3 linked regions of the Schizosaccharomyces pombe genome follow. Changing the gene in region 2 together with the main gene of any one other region gives a genetic interaction. Each region holds a gene or a part of one and is shown on either strand. Other genes may lie near its edges.

Evidence for each region. A genetic interaction does not mean that the proteins touch.
Region 1: mutations in med13 (region 2) and vph2 together harm fitness less than expected from each alone (positive genetic interaction), as found in Schizosaccharomyces pombe (2 studies listed by BioGRID).
Region 3: of med13 (region 2) and srb10, changing one suppresses a phenotype caused by changing the other (phenotypic suppression), as found in Schizosaccharomyces pombe (2 studies listed by BioGRID, with this or other methods).

The regions. Positions count from the first base shown.
Region 1 is NC_003421.2:66,343-71,662, reverse strand, and holds vph2 (V-ATPase assembly protein), read right to left. Parts: upstream 3,412-5,320; 5' UTR 3,133-3,411; coding exon 2,710-3,132; intron 2,647-2,709; coding exon 2,428-2,646; 3' UTR 2,184-2,427; downstream 1-2,183. Other genes in the region: SPOM_SPCC757.11C (transporter), read left to right, coding at 607-2,022; RNA-binding protein Rnc1, read left to right, coding at 4,978-5,320. UniProt on the Schizosaccharomyces pombe protein: Required for vacuolar ATPase assembly.
Region 2 is NC_003424.3:3,094,575-3,103,479, forward strand, and holds med13 (mediator complex subunit Med13), read right to left. Parts: upstream 4,094-8,905; coding exon 4,052-4,093; intron 4,017-4,051; coding exon 501-4,016; downstream 1-500. Other genes in the region: protein mug74, read right to left, coding at 1-311; protein Noc12, read right to left, coding at 4,687-4,845, 4,909-5,256; mtx2 (metaxin 1), read left to right, coding at 5,533-6,093, 6,173-6,427; protein qng1, read right to left, coding at 6,723-7,575, 7,709-7,857, 7,904-7,942; snd302 (pho88 family protein), read right to left, coding at 8,395-8,905. UniProt on the Schizosaccharomyces pombe protein: Component of the srb8-11 complex. The srb8-11 complex is a regulatory module of the Mediator complex which is itself involved in regulation of basal and activated RNA polymerase II-dependent transcription.
Region 3 is NC_003424.3:1,574,855-1,580,211, reverse strand, and holds srb10 (mediator complex cyclin-dependent protein kinase subunit Srb10), read right to left. Parts: upstream 3,506-5,357; 5' UTR 3,359-3,505; coding exon 2,376-3,358; exon of another isoform or gene 2,311-2,375; coding exon 2,184-2,310; downstream 1-2,183. Other genes in the region: ribosome biogenesis protein Tsr1, read left to right, coding at 1-456; protein Not11, read right to left, coding at 672-1,169, 1,228-1,419, 1,556-1,720, 1,767-1,898; SCF complex, Cul4-RING and CLRC ubiquitin ligase ligase E3 subunit Rbx1, read right to left, coding at 4,184-4,191, 4,236-4,326, 4,390-4,539, 4,728-4,802. UniProt on the Schizosaccharomyces pombe protein: Catalytic component of the Cdk8 module/Srb8-11 module which is a regulatory module of the Mediator complex that regulates basal RNA polymerase II transcription.

The sequences.
Region 1 (5,320 bases), on a different chromosome or scaffold from region 2:
CTATTCGATACTTATCATCATATCCTATCATAATTCTATTCTCCTTCTACCATCATGTCTACCGGTTTCTACGTTTGCATTTATCTTTGCGTTTTTGTACTTGCCATAACTGAATTGTACTATTTGCTCTCGCTGATTATTTCCTATTTATACAAGTAATTAATAATTTAAAAAAGAACAAATAAATAAACTGCCCACACCAGGAATCGAACCTGGGTCGCATCGGCCACAACGATGAGTCTTAACCACTGGACCATGTGAGCTAGTACAGTAGCCGTACAACTAATGACTGATATATGGTAAAATACTCCGCACTACGGAAAGCTTAATTAGGGAAGCACCGTGGATATCCTATTTTGGGAATTCTTATCCATTCTATACGATGATGAAAATTATCGGATATCATCAACTTAAAAAAATTGATCTCATATAAAATAAACGAGTCATGCTATTCTATTGAAATTCCACTTTCTTCCTTTACTCACACCAAAATATTTGAAAACAACAAAGAATTTCTCTTTGTTTTCTCGTTCCTTCTATACCTTATTCCACAGGCCAGTTTTCGTAGTAGAGCAGGTTTTTGAATGGATCCATTGAGTCTATATTATGGAGCAACAAAGTAATTTAGAAAAAGACCTCTCGGTCTCATCCTTTCTTGATGAAAAGGAAAAGTCGGGATACAAGCAATCTGTAAGATTAGTTTCCAATGACCCTTCTGCCTCACCGGCTGCTACGCATAAACCACCGTTCATCAGTGCGGCTTTGATGCTGTTAAATAACACAATTCTTTGCATTTCATTCACCATTGTCGTTCCTACGTCCGAGAGATTTGTCCAACATCTGGGGGGAGGAAATGGTTTGTCCGGTGTAATTATCGGATTGCCCACAATCACTGCCCTTGTGTTGCTGTATCCCATGTTGAGATTCTCGACTCCGAAAGCTGCCAAGGGATATACGATTTATAGAAGACCATATACAATGTCGTGTATAAGCTGCATTATTGGTCATATCATGTATGCACTCGCAGATAAAGCCAAAAGTGTGGCCTTGATTCTTGTGAGTCGTATTTTTACGGGTGTTGCGTGTACCATGTTTTTATACCACAAGCGCTATTTCACAGATAAAGCCTTGATCAGCATCAAATATAGAACGTCGATGGGTGTGGTCAACTCAGTCATGGCAACGCTTGGTTTGACAGCTGGTCCATTCATCGGAGGATTAATGGCCAAGTCTTCAATGAAGTCTCAAAGCGATATCTGGAATGAATATACTTCGGGTAACTGGCTAATGGCTTTCATTTGGGTAGGCTTGTTTTTGTTTGGCTTTGCTTGTTTCCGGGAGGTTTTGAGCCCGCAAACGGACGTAAAGGAAGAAGTAGTCGAAGAGAAGCATGTCATTAATGATGTCAAACAGGATACCAATTCAAAACTAGGATTTGTGGGGTGTCTTGTTATTTTCGTTGTCGCTTTCTCTGGCTTCTCTGCTTACTTTCTATTAAATGCATACCAAGCATCTGTTCCAATTTACACTTCTATGCTTTATAATTATTCATCCTTCCAAGCAGGTAACTTCCTTTCTTTGGCTGGAATTATCAACGTACCCTTGCTTTTAATATTTTCCTATTTGACGCGTTACTTGACTGACAGAGATATCATATTGTTGGGTTGTTGTTTAAACATCGTATGCATGGTTATTCATATAACTATTCACTATACAGGCAAGGAATTCGTACAACCTTACTTTATTATTTACACCCTTGTTTTTTTTGGATCTTCTATTGCTAATTCCCCTTCGGTCTCTTTATTGACAAAGGTTTTACATCCTAAGTACCACCTGATAGGTAACGTCGCTGTGCAAATATCAATTTCCTTATCCGACACAGTTGGTGCTATCTTTGGCGGTGCATTTCGCTCGTTCTCACCTGTTGTTTTTTTTGCGGTATGCTTAATATTAAACGTTATGTCTGTGCTTGCACTATTGATTATATGGAAGAAACTTAAGGTCAAGTTGCGCCTTGCATAATTCACTGGTAACTCAATGGTTAGGTTGCTCTCTATTTTTTTTTTTTTTTTTAATTTTTTTACAAGGGGGGGTTGATTTGTTGTTTATTTATAAATTTGTAAGTTGTGTTCCTTACAAATAAATCTAATACCAAATGGCTAATTAAATTGAAATAATGTTGCTAAATCTTTAATTATAATGAAATTAATTGATGAAATATACGTTAAAAGCCAAATGAGTTCGAATTTTTTATCTTAAATACTTTTTATTTTTTATCTATAGTGTGCCCATAGGTGCCTGCCCTTCAATTAACACATAGAGAGGTATGCCATTATGATCAATTAGACAAACAACCTATAAAAATCATCTACAGGAAAACATCAAAGGTACTTTCGTTAATAAAACATCTAAAAATTAAGAATATAATTATTGGTTCTTTTTTTCCTTCAAAGATGGAATGGCTCCCAGTTCTATAGCTAGCTGCTCATTTGACTGTAGAACAGGGTCATTTGTTGTCCATGTATATATTATTTGTCGAGTATGATTCTTTGAAGTTCGTACGGGTTGTGCAGATAGATAGCGGACATAAAGAAACGTATCTGCTACTAGAACCAAGATTGCTGAAAACGCACATAGCGCAATTTTCTAAATAATATTAAGTCAATACAAAGGTCTCCCAGGAACAAAACGAAAGTTTTTAATTCATACCTTTTCAATAGATAAAGATGAAGTGCAGTACCAAACAGCGGTCACCGTTCCTACTACTGTGAAGAGTATATTGATTATAGCGCTGATTTGGTTTTTCATTAGTCGTAACTCTGATTTTTTTTCTCTCTCAGGGTCCATGGATACGCCTGCCATTGATGGAAGCAGAGGAATACCATCATATAGCTCTTTCTCCTTTAAGATAGAAGTAGTTGTATTGTCTTGAGTATGGCTGTTTTCATCAATTTCGCCCAAGAAGACACTGTCGCTCGGCACAATCTGTACACCTCGAAGAAATTCCAAAAAATTGATATTCCTGTTATGTAATCGTAATTCCTTTAACATTTTTACCAGCTCAAATCCATCGACAGTTAATTTATTACACCGTAAGTCTGTCTGCTGTTTTTCGGAGAGCCTGTACAGCATTTTTGCAATAATGAGTCAATTTGACAATTTCGAAGGTATTAAAAAAGTAGAAGGGTAAGTAATAATGCTATGAAGTCTAGAAAGCAATCAAAAACGATTCATATAGTCCGAATTGCGTGAAACAGGATCAATCTAGGTTGGTTGACGATATTTGCTAAATTTCTATTGAGTTTTCTAAATGAAATAATTAAACCAATATTTTAATGTCTAATACTACGTTTTATATTGACCAACAAACAAACATGGAGACAGTGGTACATCCAAGTATTTGCAAAAGTCAAAGTTACGCAACGTAATACATAGCGTCCTATAAGAGGCAAAAAATGAAAATATGAAAGTTCCTCAACTTTTTTTGAAATCACCGTTTTGGTAATTAGCATCATAATTTTATTCTTCACCCTCGCTAACACTGTGCTAGGCCAAGCAGAATTGTAGACTTCCTCGTTCAGTGAGGTATAGAAGAATGGTACACGCTACTGTGATATTATATCTTTCTATGAAGTGACATAAATCTTGGTAACTGAACATTCAGTTTAATTTAGCGCCGCAATTGCTCTCGGGTATTTCATACAAACGATATTCAAAGATTATTTATTGGAATTTCAATATAATATTAAGAAGTAAATGCTACTAGCTTTGTTGGCTCTATGAGTTTTATATAACTTACGCAATTATTACTTGCGTCTATGGTTTCAAAATGTGTCCCAGTATGCTCATTCAGCGCTTGGAAAGCTAAAGGTTCAAGAATTTTTATGACTTTGGGTTGAATACTGAGATACTTCATGTTCAAAAATACCAGCGTTTCAACGGCGTTCAATTCTTCCATGTTGCACCATCCAAAGTACTTTTTTTTGCGAATTTATTTACGACAAACTTGGCTTACGTAAACTTTGGGGTAGCAAAATTCATATCGCCGCAGAACAGTTTGCAAGAACAAATATAAACCTAAAGAGGTACGGGTGAACAAATAGGTATTCGAATTAGGAAATGAAAAGTTCGAAGCTGAAGGAAGCTTAATTACGAAGACAGAATCAAATAAAGATAACTTCCTCCAGTATAGTTTTCATTTTTCCGAACGTCCATATCGTCTTTGCCTCTGCACCATTAAATTCGAATTTTTTCAACGATTTTCAAAGCTCACTATACCATATAACGTAATCTGAAGAAAGAAAGTTCCACTGATGCATGGACGCTATTTAGGTTTTTGCCCTTTATCTTTCATCTGATCTTACAAAGTCGCTTGAACCACGCTATCCTATATACCGAAGCAAAGGCCAACGAAAACAACTACGTTAATACCTGCTATATTGACTAAAAGAATGATATTTCACTTGGCAGCATTCGTTAGCTTTAGCTAGGAAATTTACGATTATTTAAAAAACCCATTCTTGTAATGCTCTTCTCATTTATTAATCTCATCATTTTCACTTCCAAAGATATAACGACTGAGGCGTAAAGCTACGCTACCACTTCCTATCAGTAAATTGTGCGACTTTACTATACGTTCTTCAAACTTCGTTATTTCCCCACCAAAAGACTTACTTGCAGAAAATTTTCTCTTTGTCACTGCTACACCCCGTTTACCACTACTCCGTTCTCCTTGGTCGTTTACTTCATTTTTGTCGAAGTAATCACAGCTATTGATTGCAATTTCAATTTATAAGAAACTGCAATAAGAGCTTAGAAGGAGCCTAATCCGTTTTCCTTTTTTTTTTTAATCTCCGCTAAATCCCTGCAGGTTTGAACTAATCAGTTTTCAGGAAGTAATTTAGAAAAGGTTCTACTCTCCTCCTAGAAACGCATATGTGTCCTATTCAATTAACCAATACTATTCCAGTGACATCTATGGCTTACAATCACTTCAGCATTCCTAAAAACATCGAGGAAAAAGAGAACTCTTTTTTTGACGTAACGTTTCAAGACGAACCCGACGAAACCACTTCTACTGCTACTGGCATTGCTAAAGTTTCCATACCTACTCCAAAGCCCTCTACACCTCTATCGACTCTTACTAACGGTTCTACTATTCAACAGTCCATGACCAACCAACCCGAACCAACGTCTCAAGTGCCTCCCATCTCTGCCAAGCCACCGATGGATGATGCCACCTATGCTACTCAACAACTTACCTTGAGAGCCTTACTTTCTACTCGTGAAGCTGGTATCATTATTGGTAAAGCTGGAAAAA
Region 2 (8,905 bases):
CTAGATTTATCTAAATGGGAAGTTTCATTAGGCCAAATACTCCCATTTGCTAATTTTTTTTCAACTACTGTTTCTCTTGGTTTCAAAAACGAAATTTGATCCGATGTCTTTTCGTTTAGAAACTCTTTGTTTGAAGAAACAACTAAATCTAATTCCTTCAACTGTTTACATAAGATTGAGTTTTCCTTATCTGAAAATAGCTCATCTTTTACTTTGCATTCCGACCTTTTAGTAAAAACCAAATCGGTTTCAGGTTGTTGAGATATTTGGTCAATCTTAAAACACTTAATTGAGGACTTATGTTTCTTCATTATGTTTTGCGTTGGCTAATTTCATGGTTAAAAATGGCGGAATATGAAATAGTCGACAGTAAACAAACACTGTGTTTTCACTATGTCAACCTTCCCAATCTAGTAAACAAAAACGATAACAAGAGTAAACCAATTTTGGCACAAGCGCATTATAAACTTATACTGTATAAATTAATAATACCCCAAAAACTAAGAGGTCACAGGATGTGTAATGTCTGATGCCATAAACTGCAATAGTTGCTTCTGGTATAAAACGGTAGAAATGTGTAATGGGAGTGAAGAAAAAGAAACATACGTTCGAAACTGTAAATAAATCATACTTAAATAATGTTTTAAAATAAGATTTAACATTAAATAAGGATCATGATTTCGAGATATCAAAAGATGAATGCTTAACAGTGGTAAATAAGATTCGTCCTCGTCTAATGCTAAGTATCCTCTAGCTAAGATTGTAGAAATTTTCTTAAATTCATCGTTCGGCACAGGCATTGCCATTTCTCGGATAAACGCAACCAAAGAGAGCTCATGACTACTATTATTACGAATAACTGTGCTTGAAGCCGAATATGGAATCCTTGAAAACACTTTCGAAGTTGAGCCAGGTCCGTGCTCTGCTGAGCAGTAACCAACTGTAAGAGAAACATTGCCTTGTAAGTTTTCAGGTATTATTGCTTGATCCCAAAACAGATACTCTGCGTCAGACATCTCACCAATCTTCATGACGATTACTATCCAATCCATGTGCATTGAGTTAAGGAACGTAAATGTGACTTCTAAAATTTGCTGTAAAGCATCTTCAATTTCAAGGTCTTGGAGAAAATAGCGTCTCTCAGTTTCAAATTCTCCATAGGAATCATTCCAATTGCAAATAAGCAAGTGCTCTTCGACAGTTGTATACGTTACATGTAGCGCATACTCTCCCAAAGCTGAAGATCTGGGATTAATATCTTTAAGCTGATAGTTAAGAGTTGATAACAAGGGCTTTTTCAGGAGAAAAGCCGGTTCACGTCTCTTTAATGAACCATCCATCAATAAAGGATCATTATTATAAATGTCGAGTGAAACTTTTGTAAAAAAAGAGTTCGAATTTGTAGTATGCGAGTTGGGTGAATCAAAAATAGAATTCGGAATCGTGCATATTCGTAATGATTTATCTTCAAATTTATTATCCCCAAGTCTCTTGATTGAGTCCTTTACGCATATAAAATGTTGACAAGCCTTTAAAAGTTTTTCGGAATCATCTTCTAAAAAATAAAAAAAAAGTACGTTTTTTCCGCTTAATTCATTAACACAAACACTCGCTAGTTGTTCATAAGAGGTTGCTGTATCGCTTTGAGTTGTTTCATTATCATCATAATTATCTGTTTCATTAATATTTGTACTGAATCCCATCACTCTTTCGTTAATAGAAGTTTCAGATAAATTCAGTTTTCCAAGTTTGCAGTTTTCATAAGCCAGCTGAACATCATAAAAAAAGCTGATAGCCTTGCTGCTTACGTCGGGAGATTTGGAAGAGAGCAAAAAAACTTCAAAATCTTTGCTCTCACCATACGGTTGAAGACATAAAGATATCCAATTCTCTGGTGCCGAAGAATCTAAAGACAACTTTTTTTCGTTGTATTTGAGCAAAACACGAGGAGGTTGGGAGAAGTTTACCAACGTTTCAGAAAAGTTAACTTGGGATGGAGGATTGTCATTTAATGCGTGATGCCCGTTATTAATCGAGGACAGATAATTTTCTGGGCTTTTGCTCAAGAAAACAGCCGAACTTTCACCTAACAATATTTTCTCTAAATAATCCCTAATAGGCTTCCGCATGTACGAAGAAAAGTTTAAAACATCTTGAGACATCATGAAACTGGTAGTCATGCTTTTCCAAAAAGGTAACGATCTAAACCATAAGTTTTGAGACAAAATAGCGTTTAACAAGTCATTTTTTCCCAAGGTAATAGTGGGTTGTAAATCTAACGATTTTAAAAAACTGAAATCAAAATTTGCTGACTTGGATTCATTCATAAGAACCTGATGTGCTAACGATAGCGTATCATAATTTGAATCGGGGTTACTTTGTTCTGAGATATTAGTGGGTGTTTTAGAAGATGAAAAAAAATCGTGATTATACTCCATTGTAAAATCTTGTTGTATAAAGTTTGTAGAGCAGATGTCTTCATCTGTACTAGTTACCGATTCAGCGACCGAAAATGATTCAAATAAATCTTCAGTTGACAAAGAAGGAGAAGGGCACCAATATTTACCACCATAGTTATACTTCTGAAAAATACTGGAGATAGACGAGGGAAAAATTACCGCAGAATAGTATGAAGGCATATACGCAGATGTAGGGATTTTAGAATCTGAAATATTTAAAGAAATTTCAGGAATATCAACTTCGACGTTGTATGGATTTAAATCTTCGGTTACCATTCTATCATCCGATTGAATTTCCATTTGCTTTGGAATATTTTCGTGAGTATTCAAATTTGGACTGGTGTTTGATTGAGAGATGGAAGTGTTGATTTCCTCATTATCTAAGGTTGTCATAGTATTTGCAAAATTAGGCTCAATCATCTCAACTTTTTCTTCAACGTTAGGTAAGTCAAAGTAATCAAAATCAGCCTCTGTTATTCCAACATCGTCTATTTCCTCCATTAGTATGTCATCTGAAACATTATGATCAGCAACAAGTATCTCTTCATTTACTTTTATTGAAGCAGGTGTAGATTTTGCAGAATTTATCGAATAATTAACGGGAGAAGAACTATGAGAAGGAACCAAGGTTACAACGGCATCAGCAGTCTCTTCCTTTTCTGTAAAACCTTCTTTTCTTTTATCTGAAGCTTCCGCTTCTTCATTTGCGAACTCAGTTAATTCCTTTTTATTGTTTACGACGTTTGAAGGGAGGACTAGGTTATTCAAATCTGTAAGGTTGCTAGATAATGAATCATCATTCATTCGAAGGGCCGACGTTTCCAAAAAGCAAAGTTCTAAAGGCCAGGAAAATTCTAATGCCGAAGATTCTAAGGTAACACCCACCCACTTTGAAGTAGTCGTAAGAGAGAATCCATAGCGGTGTTTCAATGCATCAACAGTTTGAGCAGATGCGTTGGCATGCACAGAGGTTAATGTTGCCAAACAACCAGTCGGGGCTAAACGAATGACAGTGTCTAACTTTTTAACCAAATTATCCACTTCCGACAAACGATATACCGTCTGCCTTGTAGGCTTTAAGTAAAATTCTATATGGCCTTTCGATAAGACAGAAAGCTGTAAATCCACAACAGGATATCCATATATGTTCCAGAGCTGGGTATCGAAAGAAGGGTGTAATTTTAAAGGAAGAAGGACACCATAAATTGGAACAAAGTTGTATTCTTTGCACAGCCAATACAACACCGTTTTTTTCAATCCTTGAAGAAAGTTTATATACAGGTCTAATAGAAGAGCTAATTCATCTTTTTGAAAAAGAGCTAATCTGGAAAATGCACCTGAATTAAGTAGCATAAAAGAAGATGATTCCTCAGGAATAGATGGAATGGCTTGAAAATCATATACAAAAAGTAAGTCATTCTTCGCGTGAACAATGCAATCCTGATTTCGTAGATAAGCTTCTTTGTCTTCTAAGAGGGAAGCAGCATCCTCATTGTCCTTTCGCTGAACCTGATACTTCGCATAATATATAGTGTTAGGGCAAGGCTGATCAGTTAGCTTTTAATTTATCATGTTATAATAGAAATAATTACAATTGTTTTAATACTAATTAGATGAACTCCATCATGTACCATGGCAGAGGATAATGGCAGATTATTATATAAGAGGAAGTAGCTAGCGTACACGCGTAAAGAAAGCACATGCGGCCACTGTCTCATTTTAACATATTTCTTAAAACACACCTGATACTTTTACTGTTAATAATAAAATAAACAAACATTAAACTAACGGTTTAGTATGCAAATAAGCATAAATGCTTCGAAATTGATGAAGGAAATATATACTGACATATAATGTTTATATTAATCCCGTAATGACCGCTATTTTAATAAAAAAAGAATGCTCCGCCTTAAATTCCTATCCTTACTTTACAAATAATTAAAATGAATGAAAGTGTAGCAATAAAGGTCCAACACAATTGCAACTCCTTCAGGTAATATGTATGAACCTATCCCTCAGTATAATGTTAGTTAAACATTACATTCCCTTAAGACTCCTCTTGAATGATGGTTTAAACAACTCATGAGTGATGGCATCTGAAAAGTGAACGAGAAGATTACAGAGAAATTGGGATTCCCCAATCAGTTTTAACAGATACACTCATTGCTTATAAAGTTATAATAAGAAGGAAAATTTTTAAATAAATAAACTAGTTGTCAAGCGTTTTTTACTCATCATCCGAATCGACATCAACTGAATCAGAATTTTCAGACGAACTTTTTTCGATTTCGGTTTCATCTTCTGACTCAGTGTCTAGAGCACGAGCATCAAAGCTGTTTTTAGAAAAGCCCAATTTTTTGGCGAACAAATTCAACTCATTTGCAAACTAAAACAGAGGATATTAGAACCTTTTGAAAGAAGTAATTAAGAAACATCGATATTGACTTACAGCATCAGTCCCATCCTTCTTGGGTTGTTTACGATTGGGTTCTTCGAATTCCAACTCTTCATCGCTTTCTACATCTTCAATCAGCTCCAGATCCTCTTCGGTACCTCCGAGTTCTTTAATATCATGGAGTAAACCATACGATTGCTTTCTTTTCCGATTCGCTTTAGGCTTTTCCAATGATGATTTGGGTTCCTTAGGACCAACGGAACTTTTATGTTTATCAATAGTTTTGTTTTCCTCTGTTTTGTTTTTTAGTGATCTAGCAGAAGAATTTTCCACAACTTTTGAATTTTTTTTCATGTCCCTCTCGACGACATCCTTGATATCTGAAAATAAAGACAAATCCATATTATGATTTATGTCAAATAAAATAAATACAATCTTTTGTCGAGTTTATCGATTATTAGAGGATGTGAAAATCCAACGCAAAATAGAAAAGTGTGTATGCAGAATTAATGCTTGGTATAGTAGAAACAACAGAATATTTTCTCCTACTACAATATAGGTAGAAATTTGAAGAAATTGCACGCTTTACCACTTAATCTAACAATTTCGCTAAGCACACTATTGATGGTATTGGTGTAAACTCTTTAGAATTAGCAAACTTAGTGACAAGTGAAAAGGATGGGCGGTCTAACAAAATTTTCGAGTTATTTTCATTCCATTTTCTCCCGCTTCCCTTTAATAACGTTTTCTAATCCTTACCCGGGCGAAAATGAAGATTACAAAACGAAAACAGTCATGTATTTGACTATGTGGAATTCCGACTTGAACTCAGAGGCTCTGGACGTTAATAGTCTTCAATGGCAAACCTGGGCAAAATTAAACGACCCTTCAATTGTTTTTTTAAATGTGTCTAACCACGCCTCTCCAGATGAGAAAGTACCTTTTATTCAAATTGAATCTCGAAAATTAGTCCTCAATCCATCTCTTTTACAATATTTTTTAAAGGATGAGTCAACACTGCAGCAAATCTCTCCTTGGATGAGTTTGCTGATAAATCAAGTAGAAACGGCAATTCTCTTAACTATGTATTTGGACAACGAGAACTTTTCTGAAATTCAAAAAAAATGGTTACCTAACATGTCTTGGCCTTTAAATATTATTAAATCAATCGGGTTACCTTCTCAAATTAAACGAAAAATTTGTCTTCAGTTGAACGAATCAACTCTTGATTTTGATGCGGTACGTTTAATAATTTTTGATAGCAGTTAGTCTTCTAGACCGAGCATTTTGAAGCATGATTTGTACTAACAAAGCTTAGATTTTAGAGGATGCTTCGAAGGCGTTTTCAGCTCTTTCAGAACTTTTAGGATCGGACAAATGGTTTTTCAATAACGAATCACCTTCTTTCTTAGATGTTTCTTTGTTTGCTCATGCAGAAATTATCAATCATTTACCTTTAAAAAACGATCAATTAAAGGTTGTTTTGGGGACACACAAAAATTTAACTGATCTCACAACGCGAGTTAGAACTCTCGCTGGTTATACATCGGCTGGACCCATTGCTCTTCGTTAACATTTTAATTAATTGAGCATAGCCCAACGAAATTTTATTTCTTTGATTGCTTTGACCGAAGTTCCCGATATTATTATTTTATTTTTAAACGTGGTTATAATGTCAAATGCATTTTCTCATTAATACTAGCTTTCACATAATGCTAACATTAACTTTACCATGTTTTTCCGTTAATTTATTTCAGCTTGTTTTTAGTACTTTCTCACTCTATGTTAAAAAGAGAATAAATTAACAATAGGTCAATATTATATAAGTATATTTTTTCAAATGCCACCAGCATAAGCCTAAATACTTTCTAATAGTATATACTTCTCACTCTAATACAAGGGATTGTAACTTCATCGACCTGAGTACTTGGTTTATAACCCTTAGCTTGCCACTCTTTGGCAAGATCCCATAGAAAAAAATCAATTGTGATAGCATTAACATCTTTTCTGTTAATGTTTTGAAGAATCTTTTCAACAGCCCAAATGCTACATCCACGCATCTCGATTTCCATAGGATCATTATGAGCTATCAATTCATTTTTTAGCAAACGCTTTTTAAAATCAGAAGAATAGCTCAGACATCCTAATTGCCACAATATCTGGGGAACGCGATAGTCAGCAAACATTGTGATAGAATCGATATCGTCAAATCGACCGTAATTTTGTCCCTGAAAGCAAGCCCAAGTTTCTGCTACCAAAATTTGAGCACGTTTGAGCATATAACATTCTCTTCCTTTGTAAACAGATACATCTCTAAAATCAGGGAAATCAGCCAACAATAGCTTTATTAGTCTCTGCGCTTGATTATGACATTTTTTGAGTAATCCGCAGTATGAGCCATGATAAGAATCTACCAGTACACGGCCAGAAGCTCGCATGATTCTTATACGCTCCTCTAAAAGCGGTATTTTTTCAACGGTAGCACTGTCAAATACAGAAGCAATGAGGGTATCAGGACATTGTTTTTCATCAGCATAAAAAGCAGGGCTTGTAATGGGAATACCAGCATCTAATGCTTTGTTAATGGCTGCACATAGACTCCAATAACCAGTGTAAAGCTTCCCTTTGTATTCAATAGAAAATCTCTTGGAATGTTTTCCACTGTCTTCAACGTCAACGTCTGACCAAAATGAAAAATTCAAAATGTCCACCAAGAAAATCCTAAAGATTTGACGTTAATACATTATGAACAGGGTAAACTTGTTGAAATGAAGTATTAAAAAAATATAAAGTGTATATGTTCAGCAGCTCATCTTTATTTAATCTACGAAAACATTCAAGCGTCCACACATACCAATCTAAGGTAGAGACGTCTCGGGTTTTAGGGTGAAGTTCGTGATTCTGCCACTCAGCGAATTGGGGTCCCAACGAATCTAGCTTCTCTTTAATCCATGTTGCCACTGCTGCACAACCACCTTTATTAACTTTCACATCGTTTGAGTTCTTTCAATCGTTCATGTTAGCAGTTATTAATAAGTAGTAAAATTACCAAAGAAATAAATTCAGCATCTTGAAGCACTCGGGACATTATAAGAGTTTTAAGGGAACGTGGATGATGCCAGTTTACACTGAGACCTAGAAAGGTAAAACACAAGAAAAATAAGAGCACGAACGAATATTTTGTAAGACAAGCGTACTAAGGATTCATTAAAAAGTAATGAAGGAGGAAAGTGTAAATAAGTATTTCATTTCATACATGTATCTATAAATTATTCGTACTTTATCTTACTATAATTATATTATTCTATAGATAGCCCAATTTTACAATCCAAGAACTACTGGTTTGTGTAACACTTGAGCTATTAGCAACCTAAAAATGCAAAGGAAATGAATTTGAACCGATTAAATTGAAACTAGGAAAAAAAACATCGATCTTTAATTCTACAACTATCAAATTAAATCAACCAGTGAAAGGACGAAATAATTAAACAAGCATGATGACTTTAGAAGTATCATTGAATGTCCAGCGTTCATAGATACTTAAGAAGACTTTTCAGTTTCGTTTTCGTTCAATTCAGTGATTGTAGGGCCATCAGACTTAGCTGAAGCATTGTTAGAATTGGACGAAGTGCCAGTAACAGCAGCTGCAGGCTTGTTTCCTCCCCCAAAGAGACCAGCAGGGGGAGCAAATGGACGAGATAAGCTACCTTCAGCAGCCTTATTAAAGATGTAAATGGAAACCAAGTTGTTAGTAAACAAGGAAATCAAAGGGAGAATGGACTGAATCACCAATGGTTGAGCATAACCCATATACAAATGCATGAACGCCATGATAGCTACACCCATCATGGTAGAGCGTTTAGCCTTTTGTAATTGCTCACTATCATACTCCTTGACAGTGGTGGTCACTAGCTTGCCATTGCTTTGTCCAGAAAAAGGAGGTGCAGGCTCTTCATAAACCAAAGGAGTCTCATCATTGTTGGCATTAATACGAGCTTGGATAATTGCATAGACACCAAAAATAATGGTGTTTGAGATCACATAGGCAGCA
Region 3 (5,357 bases), 1.5 Mb from region 2:
CAAAAATATCATAGATATCTTCCACCTAAGCAAGCTGTTATCGCATCTGTTATTTCTCCTATCGTCTTTGGTAATGTACCTATAATAATGTTCAAAAAGTCATCGGATAACTCTTTGCGTCTTGCCGCTACCGGCTCATATGTAAATTGTGATACCAATTCTGTCATTGCTAAAAGAGCTGTTCTAACAGGTCATCCTTTCAAAGTACACAAAAAATTGGTCACTATTAGATATATGTTTTTTAATCCAGAAGACGTTATTTGGTTCAAACCTATTCAGCTTTTTACTAAACAAGGGCGAACGGGTTATATTAAGGAACCACTTGGTACCCACGGTTATTTCAAGGCAACTTTTAATGGTAAAATTACAGTACAAGATACTGTAGCTATGTCGCTTTATAAGCGTATGTATCCTTTACCTTGCGAGTTATTCAAGGTTACGGATATTGATTCATAAAAAAATTTGTGAATATTAGTAGTTTAGTTTTTGGTAATGGGTTTAGGCATAAAAAATGGAATACTCTAATTATTTTACTCTAGCAGAGAATTGGGATATTGGGATATTATGGAAATGTAGTACTTGTGTGTTAAATTTAATGTTAGAAGTATCGTAACTCAAGCTTTCTAAATAGATACGAATAAATAATAGAGTTATACTAACTTTTCAATAACTCAAGGGTTATTTTTTAATGCTTTTACTTTTTGGAATAGCTTAGCTGATTGCGGTAAAGCAACGATGCAAAAGGCCTGAAGATCTAAAAACAATGTGCTCGATAAATACTCAGATAAAGAAGGTATTTCGAATAGTTTGGATATAAATAAAGTCGCAACAGTGGATATTCGTTGCTTTTCTAAATGTGATGTATTGGTAACTTGGTTATGCAAGGATACAAGCATGTGATAAAGAAAAGATTTGCCGTTAAGATCAAATTGAGCAAGGCTTTCTTCTTGTTGCAATAAATAAAGTAAGACTTCTACATTTGAAACTGTAACGGGAATATTAGCAAGAAGCAAGAGAAATTTATCGTTAAACGAGGAATCAGAGTGCTGTAGAAGATGAAGGAAAAAAACTTTACTATAAGAAAGGTTCATCGAAATAAAAGATTCAAGCTGCTTGGAGGCAGGCAAATCAGAATTTGTGTACGTCGTGTTGCTTTGAAGTAAAGAATTCTAAAGCGAAATGTCAGTAGCAATTCCTCGAAAATTGAAAAAAAAAGGATAATCTTACCTGTTCCTCTTCCGTTAGCTCTCTCTCTCCCCCTGAAATCCAAAAAGAATTTAGAAAATTAGAGGAAGACGGTACAAGTTCTTGTTTTTCTAGCCAAGCCTGTAACTCATTCTCTTCAACTAGGGAATCAGCTTCGACTACATCCTGGCTAGTTACAGAAGCGGCAAGCTCAAAAGGAGAAACTTTCAGCAACTATGCATAGTTAGTACCAACAAACAACTTGCATTTGTTATGGCAAAAAAAAAATTCAATCACAAAAGTTTCGTTCGAAAATTGACGTATCGAAACAAAAAAAAATAAACTGCTTTCTTTTTCTCTTTACACATACCTCTGAAATTCTCCCTGAAAGTATTTTAGCTAGCAAATATCTGCGGGGAGGAAAACTACAAGATTGCCAGGTATTAAAAAAGTGACCTAGAAAAGGAATCCATTTTAAAGGTGTTTTCTGATAATAAAACCATATTAAAAAGTCACTAATAAGTGGTATTAAAAGCTATGGCAAGTTAGAGAAAATCCAGTAAAAAATCATAAGTTAGTACATCGCTAGAGTTATCAGCCTCACTCATTAACGTTAGAGCATGTTGAAATTTTTCTAAGTCATTATCGTTAGGCGCTTGATGTAGTAGACCAATTTCTGCAAAGCTAGTGTTTTCCCATTCCTTACCCAACATGGCTGTTGGAATCTTCCCTCTAAAACAATAAGAATAATGAGTCACAACGTGGATGTACTAGCAAAAATGTATGGTTTGAACCATATATTAGAATAGTTGAAAAAAAATTTTAGTATCTCAATGGTCAAAAATATGAATAAATAATCGTGAGTTTTTTAGGTATTCTTAAATAAAACGACGGTGCCCTGCGTAGACAGAATATCAAATATACGTCCAAGAAAAGGCGAAATATTTAATTGAAAATTACAGATAATCTTTTAAATAGCTTAAGGGAAGCATTAACAATCAATTTCCTTTAAAACGTTTACTTTCGGACCTTAGTGAAGTAGATAGTACGCGTTTGGAGGAAACCTCGGAATCATCTTCTGAAATTCTCCTTTCTGGATAATGAATAGGTTGATTTAAAAATGGGCTAAAAAGTGAGTTAGTAAAAGCTTATTTCTTTCGATGATAAATAGGAAAAGGAAGAACACGTACCTAGTGGTCCATAATTTATCGGAAGTAAAAAAAACGTGTTCCAAAGCTTGCTTAGCAGTTATGCGTGATTTTGGATCGTATTGTAGCATTTTCATCAGTAGATCTAACCCTTGCGGATCCCGATTTTTTACGGTTTGATACCACTGAGGAAGCAAATTATTCCAGTAACGAACTTCAAATGATGATAATTGATAGTACTCTGGATAATTTTTGAGACCTGGCCAGCGTTCTTCTGTTGGTGTGCCTAGTAACTCCATTATGCGTAGCATTTGAGTACTCTGAAAAGGAACGACTTTTTTATCTTCCATTTTTATTTCATCTCCTTTGAAAAGAGGAGAAAGAGCAAGCATTTCTCCATAAATACAACCAATTGCCCAAACATCTATTGCTGGGGTATAATCGTGAGCTCCCAAAAGTAGCTCTGGCGCACGATACCAAATAGTAACTACTACACGATCGCTGGAATAAAATGGTAATATGGGATCCCGAATGAGCCTTCCCAGCCCTAGGTCCCCAATTTTTACCTTGCCTGTAGCTGTAATCATTATGTTTGCTGGTTTCAAATCTCGATGCATAATCCAGTTTTCATGTAGGTATGCTACACCATTAATGATCTGCCATAGAATACTTTTTAAAATTGATGGTGGAATTTGTCTTGTTCTAGATCGGCTATGGAAATGAATAATTTGCAACAGATCGTGTTCGGCGTATTCAAAAACCATGCTAATTGTGCCATCTTTGAGTAAAACTTGAACCAAGCTAACTATATTTTCATGCTGAATTTCTCTACACAGCATCATTTCACGAATAGCACTTTGAGAAACGCCGGTTTGTTGAGCATTCGAGCTTACTTGCTTTGACTCAGCTTTGAACTTTTTAATTGCAAACAGTCGTTTATCATTCGAATTAGATGAAACCGCTTTATAAACCTTTCCATAAGTTCCAGATGAGATAAACCCAATAATTTTATAACCGTCTTTCATGCTGAAATGACCCTACCCTATCAAACCTTTAAAGAGATGGATATATACACATTCAATCACATAGGGATGCTTTTTACAGTCTTTATATAAAAAGTATCCGACTTTTTAGTATCACTTAAAAAGTCAGATGAATGTAGGTCTCTCTATAGTGGGAAGTGACGAAGGCGACAGAAACATTAGTATTAGGCGAATAAAGAGTCAAAGTACCACGAATCTTTTTATGCCTACCCACTATTAACGAAAACACCAAGTCTGATAAACTGAAGGTTTTAAACATCAGATGGTAATTTTCATAAAGCTGTTTGTTCTTATTTAAAAGTTAACTGAATTTGTGAATTGATTGGCAAGTATAGAAAATCCGTGCACTACTGAGCTTTTGTATCTCACCACTGACATTCTTCTCGAAAGCAATGATTCGCATTCTGTCATGCGATATGCAGCATAATGTCTGTATGCCTATTCAATTTTAACAATAGCACTTTAGAAGTATGCCATTTCTTTTGATGATTTAAGTAATGTTCTAATTCTTCAAGTGTATACAAAGTAGTGATATAATGTCTTAATTTATATGATGTGTAGTTAAAAACTGTCTGTAGGAAATTTTATTTGACAAGCAATAAAATAAATTGATATATTCGTCCACTATCTGAGTAATTGGAGTAAATAAATATAAATAACAATTCAAAGTCACATGGAAACTTAAACTAGCCACAAGTAGTCATGATTTTAGGAAATTTTAATTGATTCATGTCATTTCATTAATAAAACGCTCTGCTCCATTGAAATATTTTTACCAACAAAAAAGTAAGTACTTAATAAATGTTATTAATGACCTGAGATAAAGTTAGTAAAGTAGGCTCGTCTTAATATACCCTACCATAACGTTGGAACTCCCATTCACGATTGTCCAAAGGACAAACATTCCTAGTGTTTAACCATCTTGAGATGCAGTGAAAGTGAAATGCATGCTTTTGTATTTGTTAAAAACAGTCCTGAGCTAAGAATACGAAAGAAATCGAATTAAAACTTACATTACAAGTTCCCCATGCCACTGTGCACTCTTGAGCAGCAGCAGAATCGGTGTTAGCTTGACACTCAATACATAAGTCCATAATATGATTTCTGCAGATAGCACAGTTATCTACAACAATGTCCCATTGCCATAATGCTACAGCATTCCACTAAATTGAAGGTAAGCAATATGAATCAGAAGAACTCATAAAAAAAGCAAAGAGAGTAAACTAGTACTTAAGTGTATGCTTATTTTAAAATAGCAAATATATCTTTGGGTATTAATTTTCACAGTTTACTTTGCTTTATGGCAAATTTGATACACATGAAGAACATGATCATAAAAATAATGACGAACCTTTTTAATTTCAAATCGAGGAGGTTTTTGTTCAATTTCCACCTCCTTCTTGTCTATTTGCATTTCATCTTCCATTGTGATGAGTAAAATAGAGCAAAGCCGCTACTTCGTTTTAAGATGAGATGTTTAAGCGGTGTGATAAAGGGGGTTGAAAATTGCAGCTTCGCTAAGCAATACTCAAACATAAGATAATTTTTGGAGTAATGTAATAAATTTTGCTAAAACACAAGTATTTAATATAATAAATAATGGATCATGGATCTTTCAATCGCAAAATGCGTACTCAAAAAATGAAGGATGATTATTCATCTGCTGTTTCATGAGTGTTTAGCACTATATCTATTTAGCTACATTAAATTACTCAGTTTGTTTAAATGTGTAAACTTTTAATTCTATGTTACATGATGACAATACAAGTTTCTTAGATATTATTTGTATTATGTGTGCTCGTTAGACATCTATTGAATAAGTTTTGTATATAATATCGAAGTACTGAAGACGGTTTCCTACAAACGTTTCAACCAAAATTAGTAAATAGCCCTATTTATCTATAATATTGTACCTTCTCTAGCATATCAAATTGAACACATTCAGCGAATTTTTCTGAAGTAATAGAGCTATTTTTTATTA